Linked DNA regions of Stegostoma tigrinum. The protein of the gene in region 1 interacts with the protein of each later gene in a pairwise test. Links are inferred from orthologs where the notes say so. Each region holds a gene or a part of one and is shown in the gene's direction. Other genes may lie near its edges.

Region 1 (7,137 bases):
GGATCTCTGGATTAACAGTCCAATGATAATACCAGTAAGCCACTGCCAGCCCCAAAATGGTCACTGTTAGGAGGACAACACAAAGACAGGTCCTTTGGCCCAACTAGTCTCTGCTGGTTGGTTGTTCCATTTGAGCTTCCTCTTGTCTGTCTTCACCAAATTCCATAAACATTCATCCTCCCCTTGTCCTTCATGCTTATCTAATTCTATACTATTCACTTCAGCTACTCCCTGTGGAAGTTAGTTTCACCTTCTCACATCTGAGAGTATAAGTTTTGCTTCTAGACTCCCTTTTTAAGTTCATGTATTGACCTCCAGGTTTTCCCTGTTCTCTCAGGTTCTCCCTCAAGAAGAAACAGGCTGTTCACAGCTACTTTATGAATGCTTCTCATAATTTAAAGACCTCCATGGGGGCTCTCTTTAGCTTCTCTCAAGAGAAATGTTAGCCAGCCTGTTCATCCACTCCTCACCCTCAGGTTTGTCCCTCTCCACTGTTTTTATGTCTTTATATAGAAAGCCCAGTATTGGACACCACTCCAGAGTTCCGAAGAGGAATAATTGGTCTTGCTCCTTTTAACTCTTTCTTTCTACGCAGATGCTTCCTGCTCAGTTTCTCCAGCCTTTATGTTGTGTCTCAAATGTCTAGCATCTGTGGTGCGTTGCTTCCCTCAATACATAAATCCTGGTGCTTGGTTTGTTTTTTGCCTATGACTTTGTTGTCCTATGTTACCAGTTATAGCGACTTGTGTACTTGTTCTTCCCCGTGCTCATCAACCCAATTCAGATTCTTGTTCTTTAGGCAATAACCAATCTGCTTACTTTTCTTGCCAGGTTCTAATATTTGTAATTTTTGCACACAGCAATTCCAATTTTCCAGTTATATCTATTCTGCAAATTTGTATCCTGAAATTTGTGACAGTGCCCCTCAAACTGACTATCCAACATTTTCCTCCTCCCTAACATTTGGTGGCAGATTTAGAAATTTGTGTTAAACTAAGAAGAATTCCAAAGTACTCAATTATTTTTGTCAAAATACATGATCTGCTCATCATATTATTTGTGTGAGCTTTCTTTGTGCAAATTAGCTACGTTTCCTGCAACAGTGACTACACTTGAAAAGTACTTTGTATGCTGTAAGTCTTTTAGGAAGGTCTTGTGGTCAAGAAAGATATTGTATAAAAGTCAACTTTTTATTCAAATTGCAATCACTTGCTACTTAATTGTGTAGGTATTTTGCTCATGCATCAGGGAAGGTGCAATTAATTGTATATGCAGTATATCTCTGTTCAGTGCCTGTAACTAAACTGCTAAGAGGACAGACAGAAGTTGCAACAGCAAGCCTGTGATTTGATGTTTAAATTTCTGTGCTGTGTTGTGGATCCACTTTATATGATCTATGTCTTCCACTCTAATAAATCAAGTCTGGGATCCTTTACAATTAATTTTGGGATTTACTGTGATTCAGTCTCTGATCCAGTCCATATGATCACACATGGCCCAGTGTCTGTGATTTAGCATGATCCAGTTTATGATCCTTGCGATTCAGTCTGCTATCTTGTCTCTCATGATCTAATCTGTGAGATCTACTCCATATGATCACAAATAGCAAGAGGCCATTCAGCATGCTACATAATTTAGTTAAATCATGGTTGATAATCCACCTCAGTCCCACTTTCCCTGATCTCTTGATGCCATTCATCTCCAGAAATAAATCAGGCCTGACTGCTAGGCCCGCGTGACAATCCCCCTCGGTCCAACTCCGTCCCACTCCCTACAAGACCCATTCACCCAAACCTTCCACACACCCAGTTACCTGAAATCCTACCCATCCTTACCCTGCTGCCCCCCCCCCCCCCCCGCCAACCCTATACCTTACCAAACTCCTCTTCCCCTCTCCCCAACCCTGACCCATGTAGCTGTTCTCTTTCTCCACCTTTAGCTTACGTGCTCACTCATTCACAGCATTGGCTATGCTGCTGTTTGTTTTAAGTCACAGAACACTGAATATTGGAAAATGGAGCATGGTTTTGATAACAATCCTCTCTGCTGGCTCCAAGCATTAATGATCAGAGTTCCATTGTTTTGAAACCAGAAGTGTCCTGTATGGGAATTTGCAGACTAGAATCTATATTGTATTTTTTTTAATCTGATCAAGGTCGATAATAGGGATACTGAATTTTTAAAATTCACTTCTGGGATCTGAGCCTTGCTGGCTGGGCCAGTATCTATTGCCCATTTGTACTTGCTCCTTGAGAAGGTGGAGGTGAGCTGCCATCGTGAACTGCGATCCACATGCTGAAGATAGACCCACAATGCCCTTAGGGAGGGTGTCATAGAATTTTGATCTGAAGGATCGACAATATATTTCCAAGTCAATGTGGTCACTGGTTTGGACGGGAAGTTGCAAGTAGTTTGCAGAATTTGATTGCAATTTCTGGACCAATATCTTTGTTCCTATTATTCTTTGAACCCGTCTCTGTGACCATTCTGTATGATCATCTGCCTCTGTTCCATTATGTAATTTGAGTATATGTCATGTCGTTTTCAAACAAAGTGTGATCCACTCTCAATGACCTGCACTCTGCTGGTTTGAGAACCTAGGTGATCAGGTGACAATTCACCCACTCTCCTGGTGATCCAGTCTCCAGGCATTCCACTGCCCATGTGATCCACTCCCTAGTGATGCCGTGTCCAAACAAAACCCAGACTGATCCATGCCCCAAGTGATCCTGTGTCTGGATGATCCAGTCAGGGTCTAACATGTTCCTGGTGATCCAGTATACGGATTATTTGCTTTCCCCAGTCTCCTGACGATTCACTCCCCGATAAGCCACTTCCTCCTCCGGAACATAGGCCTCGTGTGATCGAGTCCCTAGGTGATGCTGTTGCTTGGGTCATCTACTCTCCTTATGTTCTGGTCCAAAGTTGATCTGCTGTCCTAGGCTATTTACTCTCTCTAGTCAACTTTCAGCCCATCGAATTCCTGGTTAACCTGCTCACTTGGCTGATCTACTCATCAGGTAACCGATCCACAACGTTTCACACTCTTGGAGACCCAGTCTCTTGGTAAATCCAATCGCTGGGAGAACTGATCTCTCTGATCCAGTCCGTGGGTGATCCACTTAGTGATCTGCTCTTGCGATGCTTCCACTCCCCAGAGCAATCTGCTCAATTGGTGGATCCACCCACCATGCAACCCACTGTCTCTGTGATCCAAACCCCAGGCAATCTGCTCTTTCAGTGATCCACTCACTAGGCGATCTGTGCTGTCAGCATTCCAATACCTGGGTGATCTGAGCTCTCTGATGAAAACTCTGGTGCGGCCGCACTTGGAGTATTGCGTACAGTTCTGGTCACCGCATTAAAAGAAGGATGTTGAAGCTTTGGAAAGGGTGCAGAGGAGATTTACCAGGATGTTGCCTGGTATGGAGGGAGCGTCTTACAAGGAGAGGCTGTTTTCGTTAGAAAGAAGGTTGAGAGGTAACTAAATTGAAACATTGAATCAGAGGGTTAGATAGGGTGGATAGGGAGAGCCTTTTTCCTAGGATGGTGACAGTGAGCTCGAGGGGGCATAGCTTTAAATTGAGGGGTGAAAGATATAAGACAGATGTCAGAGGTAGTTTCTTTACTCAGAGAGTGGTAAGGGAATGGAACGCTTTGCCTGCAACAGTAGTAGATTTGCCAACTTTAGGTACATTTAAGTTGTCATTGGATAAGCATATGGACGTACATGGAATAGTGTAGGTTAGATGGGCCTGAGATCAGTATGACAGGTCGGCACAACATCGAGGGCCGAAGGGCCTGTACTGTGCTGTAATGCTCTATTCAGTCCCTGGATGATCTGCTGTCTCGGTGATCCAGTCCCCGGGTGGTCCGCGTTGTCAGTGTTCCAGTCCCCGAGTGATCCCTGCTCTCGGCGATCCAGTCCCCTGGGTGACCCCCCCCCCGCTCGGCGATCCAGCCCCCCGGGTGATCCCCGCGCTCGGTGATCCAGCCCCCCCGGGTGATCCCCGCGCTCGGTGATCCAGTCCCCGGGTGGTCGAGCCCCTCCTGAGGCGGGTCTGGGAGGGGGTGGGAGTTGCAGCGTGATGACGTCAGTGGGTGACGCTGTTTAAGGTTTTGGCGCGAACGCGGAACAAGCGGAAACCGGGAGCTGGAGCCTGAGGTAAAAGTGGCGGCCCCTGGGTAGGGAGTGAGGGGCTGTTATAGGTTTAATAGAAAGGGATAGTGTTTGTCATAAACACCGGCGATGAACCGGGGCATACAGAGAGACAGCAGACACCCACTGGGCTCGCCCGGGGAGGGGAGGGGAGGGGATTCTCCACCGTGCGGGAACCGCCTGGCAGTCTCCTCAGGGACAGAGCGGGGGTGAGGGCGGTGCTGGTGCTGCTAGGGCCTGGCGTGCCCCTTGCTGTCATTCTACAATGTTTCACCATTGTAAATGCCCCACTAAAGCTGGGCTGGTGGCCATTACAGAGACTTGTCTGAGAGGGGGGACGGGACTGGCTGCTTCTCATTACAGGGTTTTGCTGTTTTTGACCAGATAATCAGGAAGGTGGAGGAGTTGTGTTACTAATGAGGGAGAATCTCATAGTTACGCTCGAGAGGGCATACTGGAGGCCTTAGGTGTGCACCGTGGCTCAGTGGTTAGTACTGCTGTCTCTCAGCACCAGGGACCCAGGTTTGATCCCACCCTCGGGAGACTGTCTGTGCGGAGTTTGCAAATTCTCCCCGTGTCTGCATGGGTTTCCTCTGGGTACTCCGGTTCCCTCCCACAGTCCAAAGATGTGCAAGGTAGGTGGATTACCCGTGGGAAATTGCCCTATAGTGTTCAGGGATGTGCAGGCTAGATAACAAGGTGTGGAGCTGGATGAACACAGCAGGCCGAGCAGGAAAGCTGACGTTTCGGGCCTAACTCTCTACACCTTATTATCTCGGATTCTCCATCTGCAGTTCCTATTATCCCTGCAGGATAGATGGGCTAGCCATGGGACATGCAGGGTTACAGGGATAGGTATAGACAATAGGTGCTGGAGTAGGCTATTCGGTCCTTTGAGCCAGCACCACCATTCATTATGATCATGGCTGATCATCCACAATCAGTATCCTGTTCCTGCCTTATCCCCATAACCCTTGATTCCACTTTATCGGAGTTTGGTCTACATGGAATGCTCTCCGGAGGATCAGGATGGACCCATTGGGTCAAATGGCCTGCTTCCGTGCTGTAGGGATTCTGAGACAGGTGCGATCACTCTGATAGGATTATACTATAAACCCCAGCCACCGAGACACTGAGCAGTAGACATATAGGCAGATTAGGGAAAGATGCAGAGTTGTCATAGTGGATGACTTTAACTTCTCCAGGATTGACTGCAACTGTCTTAGAGGAAGAGATTTAGATGGAGCTGAATTTGTTAGGTACATCAAAGAAAACTTCTTGAAATAATATATGGACGTCCAACTAGAGGAGGTCCATTCTGGACCTTGTATTAGCTAATGAGCCTGGCCAAATGAATGACCTTTCAGTGGGAAACATTGATCACGACCCCTTATGTTTTAAGATCGGCATGAATAAGTTAGGACCTACTAAACTGGAGGATGGAAAATTACGTTAGTATTAGGCAGAAACTAGGGAGAGTGCATTAGGAGGAACTGTTACCAGGCAAGTCTACATTTCTTATGTGGGAGTTGTTTCAAGATCCACTGAGCAGATTATGTTCCTCATAAGGAAGAAGGAAAAGGATGGCAAGGTAAGGAATCCCTGGATAATGAGGGAAGTTGTGAATTTAGTCAAAAAGGAAAGAACATAGAACATTACAGCACAGTACAGGCCCTTCGGCCCTCGATGTTGTGCCGACCTGTCATACCGATCTCAAGCCCATCTAACCTACACTATTCCATGTACATCCATACGCTTGTCCAATGACGACTTAAATGTACCTAAAAGTTGGCGAGAAGCATATGTAAGGATTATGAAGCCAAAATATGAAGAAAGCAGGAAATATCTCAGACAGGGATTTAGAAGAGCAAGGAGGAACCATGAAATGACCTCAACAAGTAGGATAAAAGAGATTCCCAAGGTATTCTATGCACACATTAAAAAATAAGGGGATAACCAGGGAGAGGATAGGACCAGGATAAAGGAAGGAACTTATGGTTGGAGGCAGAGGTTGTGGATGAGGTCCTAAATGAGTACGTTGCATTGGTATTCACCCAGGCGAAGGATATGGAGTATAATGAGACTAGTGTGGAGCATGCTAATATACTAGGGCATTTTGAAATCAAGAAAGAAGTGGTGTTGGGTCTGTGAAGAAGATTAAGTTGGTTAAGTCCCCAGGACCTGATGGGATCTACCCCAGGTTATTGAGAGAGGCAAGAAAGGAGATTGCTGGGGCCTTGACTAAGATCTTTATATCCTCGCTAGCCACTGGAGAGGTCCTAGAGGACTGGCAAGTAGCTAATATTATTCCGCTTTTCCGGAAAAGAAATAGGAATAATCCAGGAAATTACAGACCAGTGAGTTTCACATCAGTGTTTGGAAAGCTATTGGAGAGAATAGGGTGGTAAAGGAGGCACATGAAATGCTTGCCTTTATTGGTTGGGGCATTGAGGTACAAGGGTCAGGAAGTGATAGCAGCTTTATAAACACGTTAGCTAGGCTGCGCTTAGAGTATTGCGTTCAATTCTGGTTGCCACATTACAGGAAGGATTTGGAGGATTTGGAACGGGCACAAAAGAGGTTTACCAGGATGCTAGATAATAAAATGTGAGGCTGGATGAACACAGCAGGCCCAGCAGCATCTCAGGAGCACAAAAGCTGACGTTTCGGGCCTAGACCCTTCATCAGAGCGTCTCTGATGAAGGGTCTAGGCCCAAAACGTCAGCTTATGTGCTCCTGAAATGCTGCTGGGCCTGCTGTGTTCATCCAGCCTCACATTTTATTATCTTGGATTCTCCAGCATCTGCAGTTCCCATTATCACTTTACCAGGATGCTGCCTACATTAGAGGATATGAGCTATAAGGAGAGGCTAGAAAGCCTAGGGTTTTTTCTGGAGTAGCAGAGGCTGTTAGGAGACTTGATAGAAGTCTATAAAATTATGACGTGCTTGGATAGGGTTGACAGTCGGAATCCTCTT
Region 2 (7,501 bases), on another chromosome or scaffold:
CTGACCCATCCAGTATTTCCATGTTTTATTCCACATTGCCAAATGGCTGTGTTCGAGCTAAATGAGTAATTTTAGCTAATAATTCAAACAGATTAACTACATATAAGTAGAAGCACACAACAAGAAATTAGAAGTTCAACAGTAGATTTAATGCATAAATATTTTCAAAACAATAGAAGTCAGTTCCAATAACTTTGAAATCAAGTCTCTGATGGGAAGTGTTGTGGATGATTCACTCTGCAGAGGCTCTCGGGGAAACAGGCAGGTTAATAGGAAATTTAATGCTGAAACCCACTCCTCCTGCAATTTATTGGTATTACAAAATATGTACAATTCTTCTGGGCTGACAGAGGGCAGATTTCCACTGAAGTTCAGCTTTTATTTTTAAATGTCTTTTGAAGGTCAGGAAATTATAATATAAGTAATTTATGGCGCTTAACTAGGTAAAAGTGTGAACACCAATCTCTGGCTGCAACAGCAATCACTTTCATTCAACAAGTTCGCAAGTTCACCTTTGTTCACAGTTAAAACTTAAACAATAAACTTGATCGGAATAGTTTCTGATCAGGCCTTAACACCAAACCATTGTTAGAGTTAGATTTTATCAAGCACAGGAATATAGGAGTACAGTGGAAAGTTTACAAAGTTGCTATCTTAAAATACAAAAGCAGAATTTTTTTTAAAAAGCGAAAGAATAAAAGAAAAGGAAAACATCCAGATCTTAAAAGTGTTATCTTCCTGTACCTAGCCCTGGCCTGGCCTGGAGACTGTGTCAACCTCCTGTGGAGACATGGTAGACAAACTGGAAGAAAGAAGAACGCAGTAAGCCAGGCAGTATTTGGAGGAAAGCAGCAGTTGACGTTTCAGGTATTACTCTTGAGGTAAGGGTAATACCCGAAACATTGACTGTGCCTTTCCTGTAGATGCTGCCCTGCTTACTGTGTTCTTCCAGCCTCCTGTCTGTCTGCCTTGCATTCCAGCATCTGCAGTTTTTCTTGTCTCCTCCGGAAACATGCTCCACCGATCAGCTTTGTTGCAGCTGCTGCTGCCACCGATCACCAGGAGAAGCCACTGGCATATACGTGTCAAGATTTTTGACTAACTCTAGTTCAATGGACTTTTATGCCCTGCACACGTTTTATATCTCGGCCACCGCAACCTGAAGTAAATTTTGGATTGATCTGAATGATTTATAAACTACAATTTTTTTTGTCACATAAATGATTGAAGAAGCCTGCATTTACAAGGTACCTTCCATTCCCCAGATCATTCTGAATGTAATGAAACAATAGAATCATAAAATTACCTAGTGTGGAAACAGGCCCTGTGGCTCAACAAGTCCACACCAACCCGCAGAGCCTCCCATCCTGACCCACACCCCTATAACCCACCTAATCTACACATCCCTGAATTTTGCCTGGCCAGTCTAACTACTCTACACATCTTTGGACAGTGGAAGGAAACTGGAGCACCTAGAGGAAACCCATGCAGACACTGGGAGAATGTGCAAACTCCACACAGACAGTTACTCGAGGGTGGAGTTGAACCCTGGTCACTGGTGCTGTGAGGCAGCAGTGTTAACCACTGAGCCACCATGCCGCCCATAGTAGGCCTCAGAGATAGGGAGAAGTTGGCCAGGATAGGCCTTGGAACATCGGAGAATGACAGGTGATCTTATCAAGATATATAAAATCATGAGGGGCACAGATAGGATGAATGCATGTAGTCTCTTTCCCAGGGATGAGGAATTGAAAACTGGAGAGCATAGGTTTAAGGTGAGAGAGGAAAAGATTTGAGAAGGACCTGAGGGGCAGAGAGTGGTGTGTATATGGAATGGGCTGACAGAGAAAGTTGTTGAGGCAGGTCATTTAAAAGGTTGGTGTTTTCGGGAAAGTTTAAGTGAGGATTTTTCAGCTTTTAAAATCTTTCCATTGTCTGCCATTTGATTCATTCTTATCCTAAAGGCACTGATTCATGCACACAGGTACCTGCACACCTCTGGTATCTCACCTGACTGACAATTATGACACAAAAGAGAAATAGGCAATGATGATTGTAGAGCCTGTTTCCAGAACAGCTCATGCTCACAGGGCTTGAATTTGGCCTGCCCAGTCTATAGGACGCAGAAATACACGACAAGTACCGCCAAATGCCTTTGTCGCTTGGATTTGTGATCTGTTTTAACCTTCTGTCAGGAGATTTACTACAGTGATTGTGGTTCTAAGCGTATTCATCAACAGGCTCTGAAAAACTCAGGTGTGCCAAGGTATATGCAGCATCCTCGTCGTAATGTTCTGTAATGAATCTCCGCATTAATTGCTGTTGGCAACTGAACACTGGTTACAAGCAAAATACGGCGGATGCTGGCGATCTGAAATAAAAACGAAAAACGCCAATCTCAGCAGGTCTGAAAGTATTTGTGGTGAGAAAAAAAGGGAGGTAACGTTTCCAGCCCGATATTGACTACATCGGAACGCTTATTCTGAAACTACTTATTCATAGAATGAATTAAAACTATTTAAGATTTCCAGCATCCGCCAGTACCTTGTTTTTATTATAACGTAATGAAATGGATTTACAACCGGACATGAAAAAAATACTGGAGAAACTCAGCAGCATCTGTGGAAAAGGAGAGACAAAACATTTGGCTTTTAAGTATGACTCTCTGGGAGGAAAAAGGAAAACACATCACCCTCTTCGTAAGCTTAAGGAAATGTAAATCCTCCTTTTAAATTAAGTCTTTGTGAAATTTAGTTCCTGTAACAAAGCGGATTGAGTCTCAGTATCAGAGATAATGGGAACTGCAGATGCTGGAGAATTCCAAGATAATAAAATGTGAGGCTGGATGAACACAGCAGGCCAAGCAGCATCTCAGGAGCCCTCTCTGATGAAGGGTCCAGGCCCGAAACGTCAGCTTTTGTGCTCCTGAGATGCTGCTTGGCCTGCTGTGTTCATCCAGCCTCACATTTTATTATCTTGGAATTCTCCAGCATCTGCAGTTCCCATTATCTCTGGTATCAATGTGGATTTCACCAGTTTCAAAATCTCCCCTTCCCCCACTGCACCCAAAACCAGCCCAGTTCGTCACCTCCCCCCACTGCATCACACAACCAGCCCAGCTCTTCCCCTCTCCCTCCACTGCATCCCAAAACCAGTCCAACCTGTCTCTGCCTCCCTAACCTGTTCTTCCTCTCACCCATCCCTTCCTCCCACCCCAAGCCGCACCTCCATTTCCTGCCTACTAACCTCATCCCACCTCCTTGACCTGTCCGTCTTCCCTGGACTGACCTATCCCCTCCCTACCTCCCCACCTACACCCTCTCCACCTATCTTCTTTACTCTCCATCTTCGGTCCGCCTCCCCCTCTCTCCCTATTTATTCCAGTTCCCTCTCCCCATCCCCCTCTCTGATGAAGGGTCTAGGCCCGAAACGTCAGCTTTTGTGCTCCTGAGATGCTGCTTGGCCTGCTGTGTTCACCCAGCCTCACATTTTATTATCTTGAGTCTCAGTATAACTTTCACCAGCTGGGCTGCACGCGCTTCGTCGTTAGGGACTGTATTCCTTCCCGTCCGCTAGTAGCCTTGGACACATCAATTGTCGTAGCTATGGGAAACGGCCTAAAATTATCGCGATAGCTCCTCTGGCCTGGAAGGACGGGGAGAGGATGCGTTCTAAACAGCAACACGTTGTGATTGGTCAACTCGAAAAAGCGGGCCTGATGGCTGATTGGGCCGTGTCCCCCGCAGCGCCCCACACGTTGTAACCGGAAGTGGGCGTGACCACACTGTGGTGGGGGGGCGGGATTCGAGCTGCCCGCTTCCCGATTGGTTGCCTCGTCTCCCGGGTGACCAAACGGTCGCCTGCCGATTTGAAGAGGCGCGGAGTTGGGGGAGGGGGATGGAAAAAAAAACATGAGGCGCAAAAGAAACAAAACAGCGATCGGTGAATGAATAATCTAGTCTAGCGTGAAGAAGAAAATAATGTGACAGAGATGCAGAGGAAAAATAAACAGCAAAAAAATTGAAAAGTGGTGAGGGGCGACAGTCAGGAGCGACCGGATCTGCCGTCAGATGTACCGCAGCCGGTCAGTGGTTTCACTGTGCACCCACTGTAGGCCGCAGATCGACAAACACAGAGGCCTGCATACATCCCCCTACACTCATACACAGGCCTTACGGATAACATTACTCTTCGCAGGAGCAGGAAGAGCCGCAGTGACGCCGACCAGGGGCCAGCAGCATCGTTATTGCGTTTTACCCTGAATGGGACGACTGCCTGTGAGTTCAACTGTATGTTTAATTGTTTTCTATAATTGTCGAATAGCCGAGGAATGTGGAATTCCATTTCTTTTTATTTCCAGTGTAAACCGGTTTCAGTGTTAGTAATCAATTTTCATTGCATTGTTCTTTCCTGCTCAGGAAGGATTGTGTTGCCAAAACAGAAACAAGAGCATTCAGTTGTGCTTTGTACCTACCCAGCCCGTACTGTCTGCACTCAGCCTTGCATTAATTCGGGAATTAGTGATGAATCCACTAGTGCACCCAGTGTGCCTGGGAAATGGGTTGTCTGCAAATACGTGAGTAAGCATAGAAATGTACAGAGATAGTAGGAACTGCAGATGCTGGAGAATCTGAGATAACAAGTTGTAGAGCTGGATGAACACAGCAGGACAAGCAGCATCAGAGAAGCAGCAAGGCTGATGTTTTGGGCCTAGACCTTTCTTCAGAAATGGGGGAGGGGGTTCTGAAATAAATAGGGAGAGGCAGATAGAAGATGAATGGAGAGAAAACAGGTCAAAGAGGTGGGGATGGAGCCAGTAAAGGTGAGTGTAGGTGGCGAGTAGATGTGTCAGCCCAGGGAGAACAGCCAGGTCGAGGGGGTGGGATGAGGTTAATAGGTAGGAGATGGGGCTTGAGAGGCGGGGACAAGCTGGGCTGGTTTTTGGATGCGGTAGGGGGACCCATTGTCTCCACCTGCTCCTGCCCCACCGAACACATCTCCACCCATCTCGACTCCATTTTCTCCCCTTGGTCCAGGAACTCCCTACCTATGCCCGTGACACCACCCACGTCCTCCAGAACTTCCAATTCCCTGGCCCCCAACACCTCATCTTTAATATGGACGTCCAGACCCTTTACACCTGCATGCCCCATATAGATAGCCTAAAGGACCTCCGCTTCTTCCTGTCCCGTGGGCCCGACCAGTCGCCCTCCATTAACGCCCTCATCTGCTTCGCCGAACTTGTCCTCACCTTCAACGACTTCAATTCCTCCCACTTCCTACAGACAAAGGGTGTGGCCATGGTTACCCACTGGGCCCAAGCTATGCCTGCCTCTTGGTAGATTACGTGGAACAAACCCTCTTCCATATCTAAGATAACAAAGTGTGGATCTGGATGAACACAGCAGGCCAAGCAGCATCTTAGGAGCACAAAAGCTGATGTTTCAGGCCTAGACCCTTCATCGGACAGATCTACACTGGCGCTAAACCCCACCTCTTCCTCTGTTACATTGATGACTGTATTGGTGCCGCCTTGTGCTCCCACCAGAAGCTCAAACAGTTCATCCACTTTGCTGTCACCTGCCACCCCAACCTTAAATTCACCTGGGCAATCTCTAATACCTCTCTCCTTCCTGGACCTCTCTGTCTCCATCTCTGGCAACCACCGAGAAACTGATATCTGTTTCAAGCCCACTGACTCTCACAGCTGCCTAGAATACACCTCCTCCCACCCACCTTCCTGCAAAAATGCCATCCCTATTCCCAATTCCTTTGCCTCCACCGCATCTGCTCCCAGGGTGAGGCGTTCCACTCCCATACATCTCAGATGTCCTTGTTTTTCAAGGACTGCTATTTTTCCCCCCCTTCAGTGGTTGAGAACGCCCTTGACCATGCCTCCCGCATTTCCCGCAACTCATCTCTCACACCCCGTCGCTGCAATAACAACCAAACCAGAATCCCCCTTGTCCTCACGTACCACTCCACCAACCTCTGGATCCAACGCATCATCCTCTGACATTTCCGCTATCTGCAATCTGACCCCACCACCAGACATTTTTCCCTCCCCACCCTTTTCTACTTTTAGGAGGGACAATTCTCTCCATGACTCCCTTGTCTGCTCCACACTCCCCTCCAGCCCCATTACACCTGACACTTTTCCGTGCAACCGCAGGAAGTGCTATACCTTCCCCACCCCCACCCCAGGCCCCAAGAAGACCTTCCACATCAAGCAGATGTTCACCTGCACATCTGCTAATGTGCTATACTGCATCCGCTGTTCCCGTTGTGGCCTCCTCTACATCGGGGAAACCAAGCAGAGGCTTGGGGACCACTTTGCAGAACACCTATGCTCAGTTCGCAATAAAGAACTGCACCTCCCAGTCGTGAACCATTTCAACTCCCCCTCCCATTCCTCAGACGACATGTCTATCCTGGGCCTCCTGCAGTGCCACAACATTGCTACCCGAAGGTTGCAGGAACAGCACCTCATATTCTGCTTGGGAACCCTGCAGCCCAATGTTATCAATGTGGACTTCACAAGCTTCAAAATCTCCCCTCTCTCCACTGCATCCCAAAACCAGCCCAGCTCATCCCCACCTCCCTAACCTGTCCCTCCCCCCCCATCCCCTCCTCCCACATCAAGCCCCACCCCCATCTCCTACCTACTAACCTCATCCCGCCCCCTTGACCTGCCCGTCCTCCCTGGACTGACCTATCTCCTCCCTACCTCCCCACCTACACTCACCTTTACTGGCACCATCCCCGCCTCTTTGACCTGTCTGTGTCCTCTCCACCTATCTTCTCTTCTGTCCATCTTCTGTCCGCCTCCCCCTCTCTCCCTATTTATTTCAGAAACCCCTTCCCCTCTCCCATTTCTGAAGAAGGGTCTCGGTTCGAAATGTTAGCCTTCCTGCTCCTCTGATGCCGCTTGGCCTGCTGTGTTCATCCAGCTGTACACATAGAATTGTACAGTATGTTTTTGCCAGCTCTCTGAAAGTAGCTCCAGTTAGTCTCTGCCTGCTTTTTTATAACAGCTCTGTAATTCTCCTTTTTGAGTATATAAACCATTTCCTTTGGAAAGCTGTAATTGAATTTCCTGATACCATTCATTCCAGCATTGAATTTCATATTAGTTTAATGTGTCTCTTTTCATCTTCTTTGACCAGTTATCTTCAGCCTGACTTCCAGTACTGTAAATAAAGAGAAACTGTTAATGCTTCTTGAAGTTTTGAAAACTTCCATCAAATCTCCCCTTAACCTCGGTTCTAATATTGACAACAGCTTTTCCAGACTCTATGTAATTGAAGTCTTATTGTTGGTACTATTCTAATAAATCTTTGTATTTTATCCAAGACCTTGGCATCCTACCTGTGGGTGTGCAGTTCAGAATCAGAGAATTTTAGCTGAAATGTAACTTGTGAATTATAAAATTTTACTGTTTTTATCATTTTATAATCTTGTTGCCAAAGGTAGCATTTATTGCTCATCCTTAATTATCCTG
Region 3 (7,313 bases), on another chromosome or scaffold:
TATAATGCAGTGACCAGAACTGTACACAATACTCCAAGTGCGGCCGCACCAGAGTTTTGTACAGCTTCACCATAACCTCTTGATTCCGGAACTCGATCCCTCTATTAATAGAAGCTAAAACACTGTATGCCTTCTTAACAGCCCTGTCAACCTGGGTGGCAACTTTCAAGGATCTGTGTACTTGGACGCCGAGATATCTCTGCTCTTCTACACTACCAATAATCTTCCCATTAGCCCAGTACTTTGGATCCGGTTACTCCTACCAAAGTACATCACCTCACACTTGTCCGCATTAAACTCCATTTGCCACCTCTCAGCACAGCTCTGCAGCTTATCTCTGTCTCTCTGCAACCTACAGCATCCTTCGTCACTATCCACAACCTCACCAACCTTAGTGTCATCTGCAAATTTACTAACCCATCCTTCTACGCCCTCATCCATGTCATTTATAAAAATGACAAACAGCAGTGGACCCAACACCGACCCTTGCGGTACACCACAAGTAACTGGTCTCCAGGTTGAACATTTCCCCATCAACTACCACCCTCTGTCTTCTTTCAGCAAGGCAATTTCCAATCCAAACTGCTATTTCTCCCACAATTCCATTCCTCCGCATTTTGTACAATAGCCTACTGTGGGGAACCTTATCGAACGCCTTGCTGAAATCCATATACACCATATCAACCGGTTTACTCTCATCTACCTTTTTGGTCACCTTCTCAAAGAACTCAATAAGGTTTGTGAGGCACGACCTTCCCTTCACAAACCGTGCTGACTATCCCTAATCCGTTTATTCTTTTCTAGATGATTATTAATCCTATCCTTTATAACCTTTTCCAACACTTTACCGACAACTGAGGTAAGGCTCATTGGTCTATAATTACCAGGGTTGTCTCTACTCCCCTTCTTGAACAGGGGAACCACATTTGCTATGCTCCAGTCATCTGGCACTATTCCTGTAGACAATGACGAGTTAAAGATCAATGTCAAAGGCTCGGCAATCTCCTCCCTGGCTTCCCAGAGGATCCTAGGATAAATCCCATCCAGCCCAGGTGACTTATCTATCTTCATCCTCTGTAAGATTTCTAATACCTCTTCCTTGTGAACCTCAATCCCACCTAGTCTAGTAGCCTGTATCTCAGTATTCTCCTCAACAACATTGTCGTTTTCTAGAGTGAATACTGTTGAAAAATATTCATTTAGTGCTTCCCCTATCTCTTCTGACTCCACACACAACTTACCACCACTATCCTTGATTGGCCCTAATCTTACTCTCGTCATTCTTTTATTCCTGAAATACCTATAGAAAGCCTTAAGGTTTACCCTGATCCTATCTGCCAACAACTTCTCATGTCTCCTCCTGGCTCTTCTGAGCTCCCTCTTTAGGTCTTTCCTGAGTACCTCGTAGCCCTCAAGCACCCTAACTGAGCCTTCACATCTCATCCTATCATAAGCTTTCTTCTTCCTCTTGACCAGAGATTCCACCTCCTTCGTAAACCACGGCGCCTGTGCTCTACAGCTTCCTCTCTGCCTGACAGGTACATACTTATCTAGGATACACAGGAGCTTTTCCTTGAATAAGCTCCACACTTCTAATGTGCCCATCCCCTGCAGTTTCCTTCCCCATCCTATGCTCCCTAAATCTTGCCTAATCTCATCGTAATTGCCTTTCCCCCAGCTATAACTCTTGCCCAGTGGTATACACCTATCCCTTTCCATCACTAAAGTAAACATAACAGAATTGTGATCGCTATCACCAAAGTGCTCACCCACTTCCAAATCTTACACCTGGCCAGGCTCATTACCCAGTACCAAATCTAATGTGGCTTCGCCCCTTGTTGGCCTGTCTACATACTGTGTCAGGAATCCCTCCTGCATGCACTGGACAAAAACTGACTCATCTATAGTATTCCAACTATCATGTTCCCAGTCAATATTTGGAAAGTTGAAGTCCCCCATGACAACTACCCTATCTCTCTCGCTCCTATCGAGAATCATCTTTGCTATCCTTTCCACTACTTCTCTGGAACTATTCAGATTAATTCATTTAACATTTTTAAGGCCTGTGATACATTAGACCTTGATTGACAAGTGACTCAAAGAAGGAGAGGGGAAAGTGGACTTGAGATTGTATTCATTCGAGTTTAGAAGCTTGAGGGGAGATCTAATAGAAACTTACAAGATAATGTATGGCTTAGAAGGGGTGGATGTTAGGAAGTTGTTTCTGTTAGGTGGGGAGACTAGGACCCGTGGGCACAGCCTTAGAATTAGAGGGGGTAAATTTAGAACGGAAATGAGGAGACATTTCTTCAGCCAGAGAGTGGTGGGCTTGTGGAATTCATTGCCACCAAGCGCAGTGGAGGCTGGGATGTTAGATACCTTCAAGGCAGAGATCGATAAATTCTTGATCTCACAAGGAATCAAGGGCTACGGGGAGAGTGCAGGGAAGTGGCGTATAATTGCCCATCAGCCATGATTTAAATAGCGGAGTGACTCGATGGGCCGAATGGCCTTACTTCCACTCCTATGTCTTATGGACTTGAGGTTACAAGCAGAGTAGCCATGATCTTTTGTTTGACGTTTCTATAAACAATGCAGATGAGAATTTGGAAGGCATGATTAGTAAGTTTGTGGATGACACCAAAATTTGCAGCAGAGCAAAGAGTAAAGAAGTTTTTCTAAGATTACGGAGGGATCTTGATCAAATATGTCAATGCGCTGAAAAATGACAGATGCAGTTCAATGTGGATAAATGTGAGGTATTGTACTTTGGTACAACAAATAGGGGCAGCACTAATACAATTAATGGTAGGGCCTTGGGTAATGTTGTGGAACGGAAAGACAAAGGGGTTCATGTACATAGTTCTTTGAAGGCAGACCAGTATCTAGAAAGGCATTTAGCACACTTGTCTTCATTGCTCAGTCCATTGGGTGTAGGAATTTGGAAGTCATGTGGAGGCTGCACAGGACATTGATGAGGCCTGTCCTGAAGTACAGTGTGCTGTAGTTATAGGAAGGGTATTTTCAAGTTCGAGAGAGTTCAGAAGAAATTTACCAAGATGATGCCGGGTATGGAAGGCTGGAGTTAAAAAGAAAAGCTGGATAGGCTGAGTCTGTTTTTGCTGGAGTGTGGGAGGTTGAGATGTGACCTTCATAGAAGTGTATAAAATCATGAGAGATATAGGTAGGGATTAATGGTAGATGTCTTTTCACTAGAATGGGAGATTTCAATTCTAGGAGCTATATTTTCAAGGCGTGAGGAGAGAGATTTTAAAAAGACACCATCGGCATTTTTTTTACATAGAGGGTGGTTCGTGTGGAGTGAACTTCCTCAGAAAGTGGCGGACGTGGGAGTTACAGCCTTTAAAAGACCCTTAGATAAGGTCATGAATAGGAAAGGTTTGGAGGGATATGTGCCAGGAGCAGACAATTGGGACTGCTTTCGTTTGGGATTATATTAGGCATAACCCAAGGTCTGCCTCCGCGCTGCATGACTGATGATAGACGAGTCTCGAGGGACCGAATGGCCTTAGGCGCTCTCCTCAGTCGTGCCTGATGGTGCAAGAGCGTGATTTGGTGAATTGAGATTTTCCATTTTTGGCAGGAAGAATACCTCTGTCATTTCCCTTTAATTTCAGTTACTGTAAATTTTGGGGATTGAGTATAAGCTAAAACTCGGGTGATGGGCTATACCTGATTAAAATTCCTGGATCCGTTGCGTTGAGGATGCAGTGCCGGCGAAGCATTAATCAGGTGTCAAGTTTGAACAATATCTGTGGGTAAACCCTTTCACTGAACACAATCCAGGGATTTAACCTCACACACTAACAACGGTGTAATTATGAAACAAAGAAATGTGGGGTTCCGGAAATACCGTTAAATTATCGCAGCTTGTATAAACCATGGTTGGTGACTATGAAAAGCAAACAATTCACATTTTATTTTATAACTTTCTTTAATAGTTTTTAATATATTTTAATTTTTATCGTGAGCTTGCTGAACACAATGAATGGGCTGCGTGTAAAAACAGTGCATTCAAATACACTCCAATGGCTGATAACAGATGATCAAACACGTTCTATACATTTATAATCTCTCCATCATTATTAAGAGCCCCCGAGCAAGTTAATAAGATAGTCTCAGTGTTTAAGGTGTTGGGTAGTTCAGTTGAGCCCCCGCTGGGCAGCTCTTTGACGCCTGTTCACTGGGGGTTGTTCACACCCAGATCCTGCAAGCTTTTCAGCTGGTGTCATCTTGATTCCCGCTTCCTGCAGGATCTTTCAGCGCCCTGATGCAACTGTTAACAAGAACCATCTGATGCCACGAAACCGAGCCTCAGGTTCGGTACAAAGTGCAGCTTTCTTGAGGCTGGCGATCGATGTTGAGAGCAGGGTAAGTACTTTAGTGTCGCTGATGAAAAGTCATAAGCATTTCATACGTTACATTTGCCCAGTGGAGTGAACTGCTGGATTCTGGCACCTGCAGTTTCTGTACATGATATACTCACACACCAGTCCCTTTCATTTTAAAATTATTCTGCATTTACTTTTAGTCGTCTCATTTCCTCGAACACCGCCCCCCCCCCCCACCCCGCGGGATATTTTTCACTTCTCACAAGCTAGTCTACGGTATTCACTACTCGCAATGTGGTTCCCCCTCTACATTGGGGAAATGAAGCATTTGACTGCTTTGCTTTTCAGAACATCGTCTTCTGTCCCACAAAAAATAGACCCTGAGCATCCAGTTGGCTGCCACTTTAGCGCACCACCCTGTCCCCTGGCCACCATCTCTGTCTCAGGCTTGCTGCAGTGTTCCAGTGAAGCTCAGTGCAAGCTACAAGAACAACACCTCATTTCCTGCTTGGGAACCCTCCAGCCCTCTGGACTCAATATGGAGTTCAATAATTTAAAGGCCTGAACTCTCCACTGTCCTAGACCCCCACCTCACATGTCAGGCCTTGTTGTCACATAGATAATGGGAACTGCAGATGCTGGAGAATCCAAGATAATGAAATGTGAGGCTGGATGAACACAGCAGGCCAAGCAGCATCTCAGGAGCACAAAAACTGACGTTTCGGGCCTAGACCCTTCATCATTTGTTTGCCATTGCACGCTACCTATTGTTTAGCTATTAACAGTGTCCCTTCATAGCTATTCAACCTCCTAGCCAGCTCGTTATCCACTCCTTTGTCTGTTTGACCTGTTCTTCTCTCTTTGGGTTGTAGCCCAACATATTGTTTACTCCATACCCACACCACACCCCTGCACCCCATCTTCCGCATATAAACTGACATTTCCTAGCTATCATCAGTTCTGAAGAAGTGTCACTGGATCCAAAATGAATAGTCTGATTTCTCTTCACAGATGCTGCCAGACTTGCTGAGCTTTTCCAGCAACATTTTTTTTGTTTCTGATTTATAGTATCTGCAGTGTTTTTTTGGCTTTTATTTGGGACATTTTGAGTTTGGTTATGAATTTATCAACACTCGTGTAAGTTTAAATGCCAGAAACTATTCATTTGAAATAAATAGCGAGTGTGGTGATATTAACAGGTGATGGAACAATAACATTACCACAGTTGCTGCAACAACTTTTTAAAGGCAAACTTTTGCTACAAAAAATAAGGTGAGGCACCACGCAACTGGCTATACAGTGTTTGAGAATGTCAATGTTAGTAACTAACCAATCAGAAACAAACATGATGAGCTGAATGACCTTTAACTGTGCTGTCACCTTTCTATGGTGGCTGGTGATTTAATACTTCCAGTTCACCATAATTTGACAAAAAGTCAGAATTTCATTTTCTAAATTTAAATTTCTGCTAATTTCCACTGAAGGATTCCACTTACGAAAGTATCACATATAAACAGTGAACTTCTAGCAGTGAATCTAGCAGTGTTGGCTTTGGAGAAGGCACAGATCAGGTTCACCAGAATTGTTTATCAATGAGGCACTGGGGAAAACCCATGTCCTTGGGTCTCCCCATGTGCCATGTTGCGTTGCCATTGACTCCCTCTACACCCCAGCAACTGTATCCAGTTGAGCACAGGTTGTTTATGCCCTCAGCTTCCTGTTTTCTATTGGTCTGAGTTTTTGATTCATGAGCTCATCATTGTAAAGACTGTCTGCTTTCACCTCCATCATTATATCTTTCTTCACCCCTGCTGTCGACTACTTGCTACTGGAACTCCAGTCATACTTTTGTTACTCCCACACTCCACTATTCAGTGTTCTTCTGGCTGACCTTCCACCCTTCATAAGCTTAAACTTATTGAAAACTTTGCTACCCGTATCTTAACACACAATGTTTATCCAACAACCCTGTGCTTGCTGATCTACATTGATTCCCAGCATGGAAACACCCGTTTTGAAATTCTCACCCTTATATTTGAATCCTTCAGTGCCCTCTCCCTTCTATCTCTGACAGGCCCCTTAGATTACAACACTCCTCCATTTGTAAATTCTTGTTCATCTCCTACTCCTTTTGTCTGACCATTTGCAACCATATCTTCATCCACCTAAGCTCTGGAATTAATTCCACCAACTGTAATTTTCTCTGCTTGTTTAAACTTACCTGTTTGACAAAACTTTTGTCTCCTCTCCTAATATCTCCTTTGCATCTATGTCTTTGGCCCTCCCCATGTGTCATGTTTTGCCTGATGTGTAATTATAACCCTGTTAAATACCTGTTCCATTATAGTTTCTATATAAGGACATTGTCATAGTTGATTCTAGGGCTTAAACCATTAAGGAAGAATTGTTGCATAAACTTGATTTACGTTCCTTTGAATGTAGAGGTTATATAATGTAGTTAATTTTAATGTGACACACAAAAGGATGGAATTTACTCTTTGTTCTTTATTTATTCTCTCCTCCATTATTGCTATTTATTCACATTCTCTATTTTTCTTCTTCTGCGCTACTGCTATTTATTTAGAAAGGCATAATAAATGCAGCACGGGCCATTCAGCTCAATTAAACTGCTGGTGATATTGCCTATGAATCTCCTCTCATTCTATCAGTAGCACATAAATTAATTGATTAATTAATGAAAATTAATACTTATTTCCACTCTGAGCTTCAAAAATATTTTACATTTTGTAGTCTTGACTATAATATTTCCCTTTGCCAGTAGCAATACAGTTTGTCGGCTCTCTCAGCTACAGTAATATTGTGTTCTTTCTCTGGCTGGGGTAATATTTTCTGTATTCCTGTACTCTCTTTCTACCTGAAATATTAATGTCTGTGTTCTCTCCCTCTCTCACCCTCTTGTCATCTACAGTAACAATATGACCCCTTTTGGTAACTGAATCT

Evidence for each region. The genes of interacting proteins can lie anywhere in the genome.
Region 2: the proteins of mcm10 (region 1) and trim37 interact in a two-hybrid assay, tested with the Homo sapiens proteins (2 studies listed by BioGRID and IntAct). The link is inferred for Stegostoma tigrinum from reciprocal best matches to the Homo sapiens genes MCM10 and TRIM37.
Region 3: the proteins of mcm10 (region 1) and cep72 interact in a two-hybrid assay, tested with the Homo sapiens proteins (2 studies listed by BioGRID and IntAct). The two-hybrid records come from large-scale screens. The link is inferred for Stegostoma tigrinum from reciprocal best matches to the Homo sapiens genes MCM10 and CEP72.

What each region holds. Positions count from the first base shown.
Region 1 is NC_081378.1:4,828,597-4,835,733, reverse strand, and holds the start of mcm10 (protein MCM10 homolog), read left to right. Parts: upstream 1-4,104; 5' UTR 4,105-4,165; intron 4,166-5,413; exon of another isoform or gene 5,414-5,750; intron 5,751-6,059; exon of another isoform or gene 6,060-6,080; intron 6,081-7,137. UniProt on the Homo sapiens protein: Acts as a replication initiation factor that brings together the MCM2-7 helicase and the DNA polymerase alpha/primase complex in order to initiate DNA replication. Additionally, plays a role in preventing DNA damage during replication.
Region 2 is NC_081380.1:41,718,645-41,726,145, forward strand, and holds the start of trim37 (E3 ubiquitin-protein ligase TRIM37), read left to right. Parts: upstream 1-4,477; 5' UTR 4,478-4,557; coding exon 4,558-4,576; intron 4,577-7,501. UniProt on the Homo sapiens protein: E3 ubiquitin-protein ligase required to prevent centriole reduplication. Probably acts by ubiquitinating positive regulators of centriole reduplication.
Region 3 is NC_081355.1:19,602,301-19,609,613, forward strand, and holds the start of cep72 (centrosomal protein of 72 kDa), read left to right. Parts: upstream 1-4,289; 5' UTR 4,290-4,392; intron 4,393-7,313. UniProt on the Homo sapiens protein: Involved in the recruitment of key centrosomal proteins to the centrosome.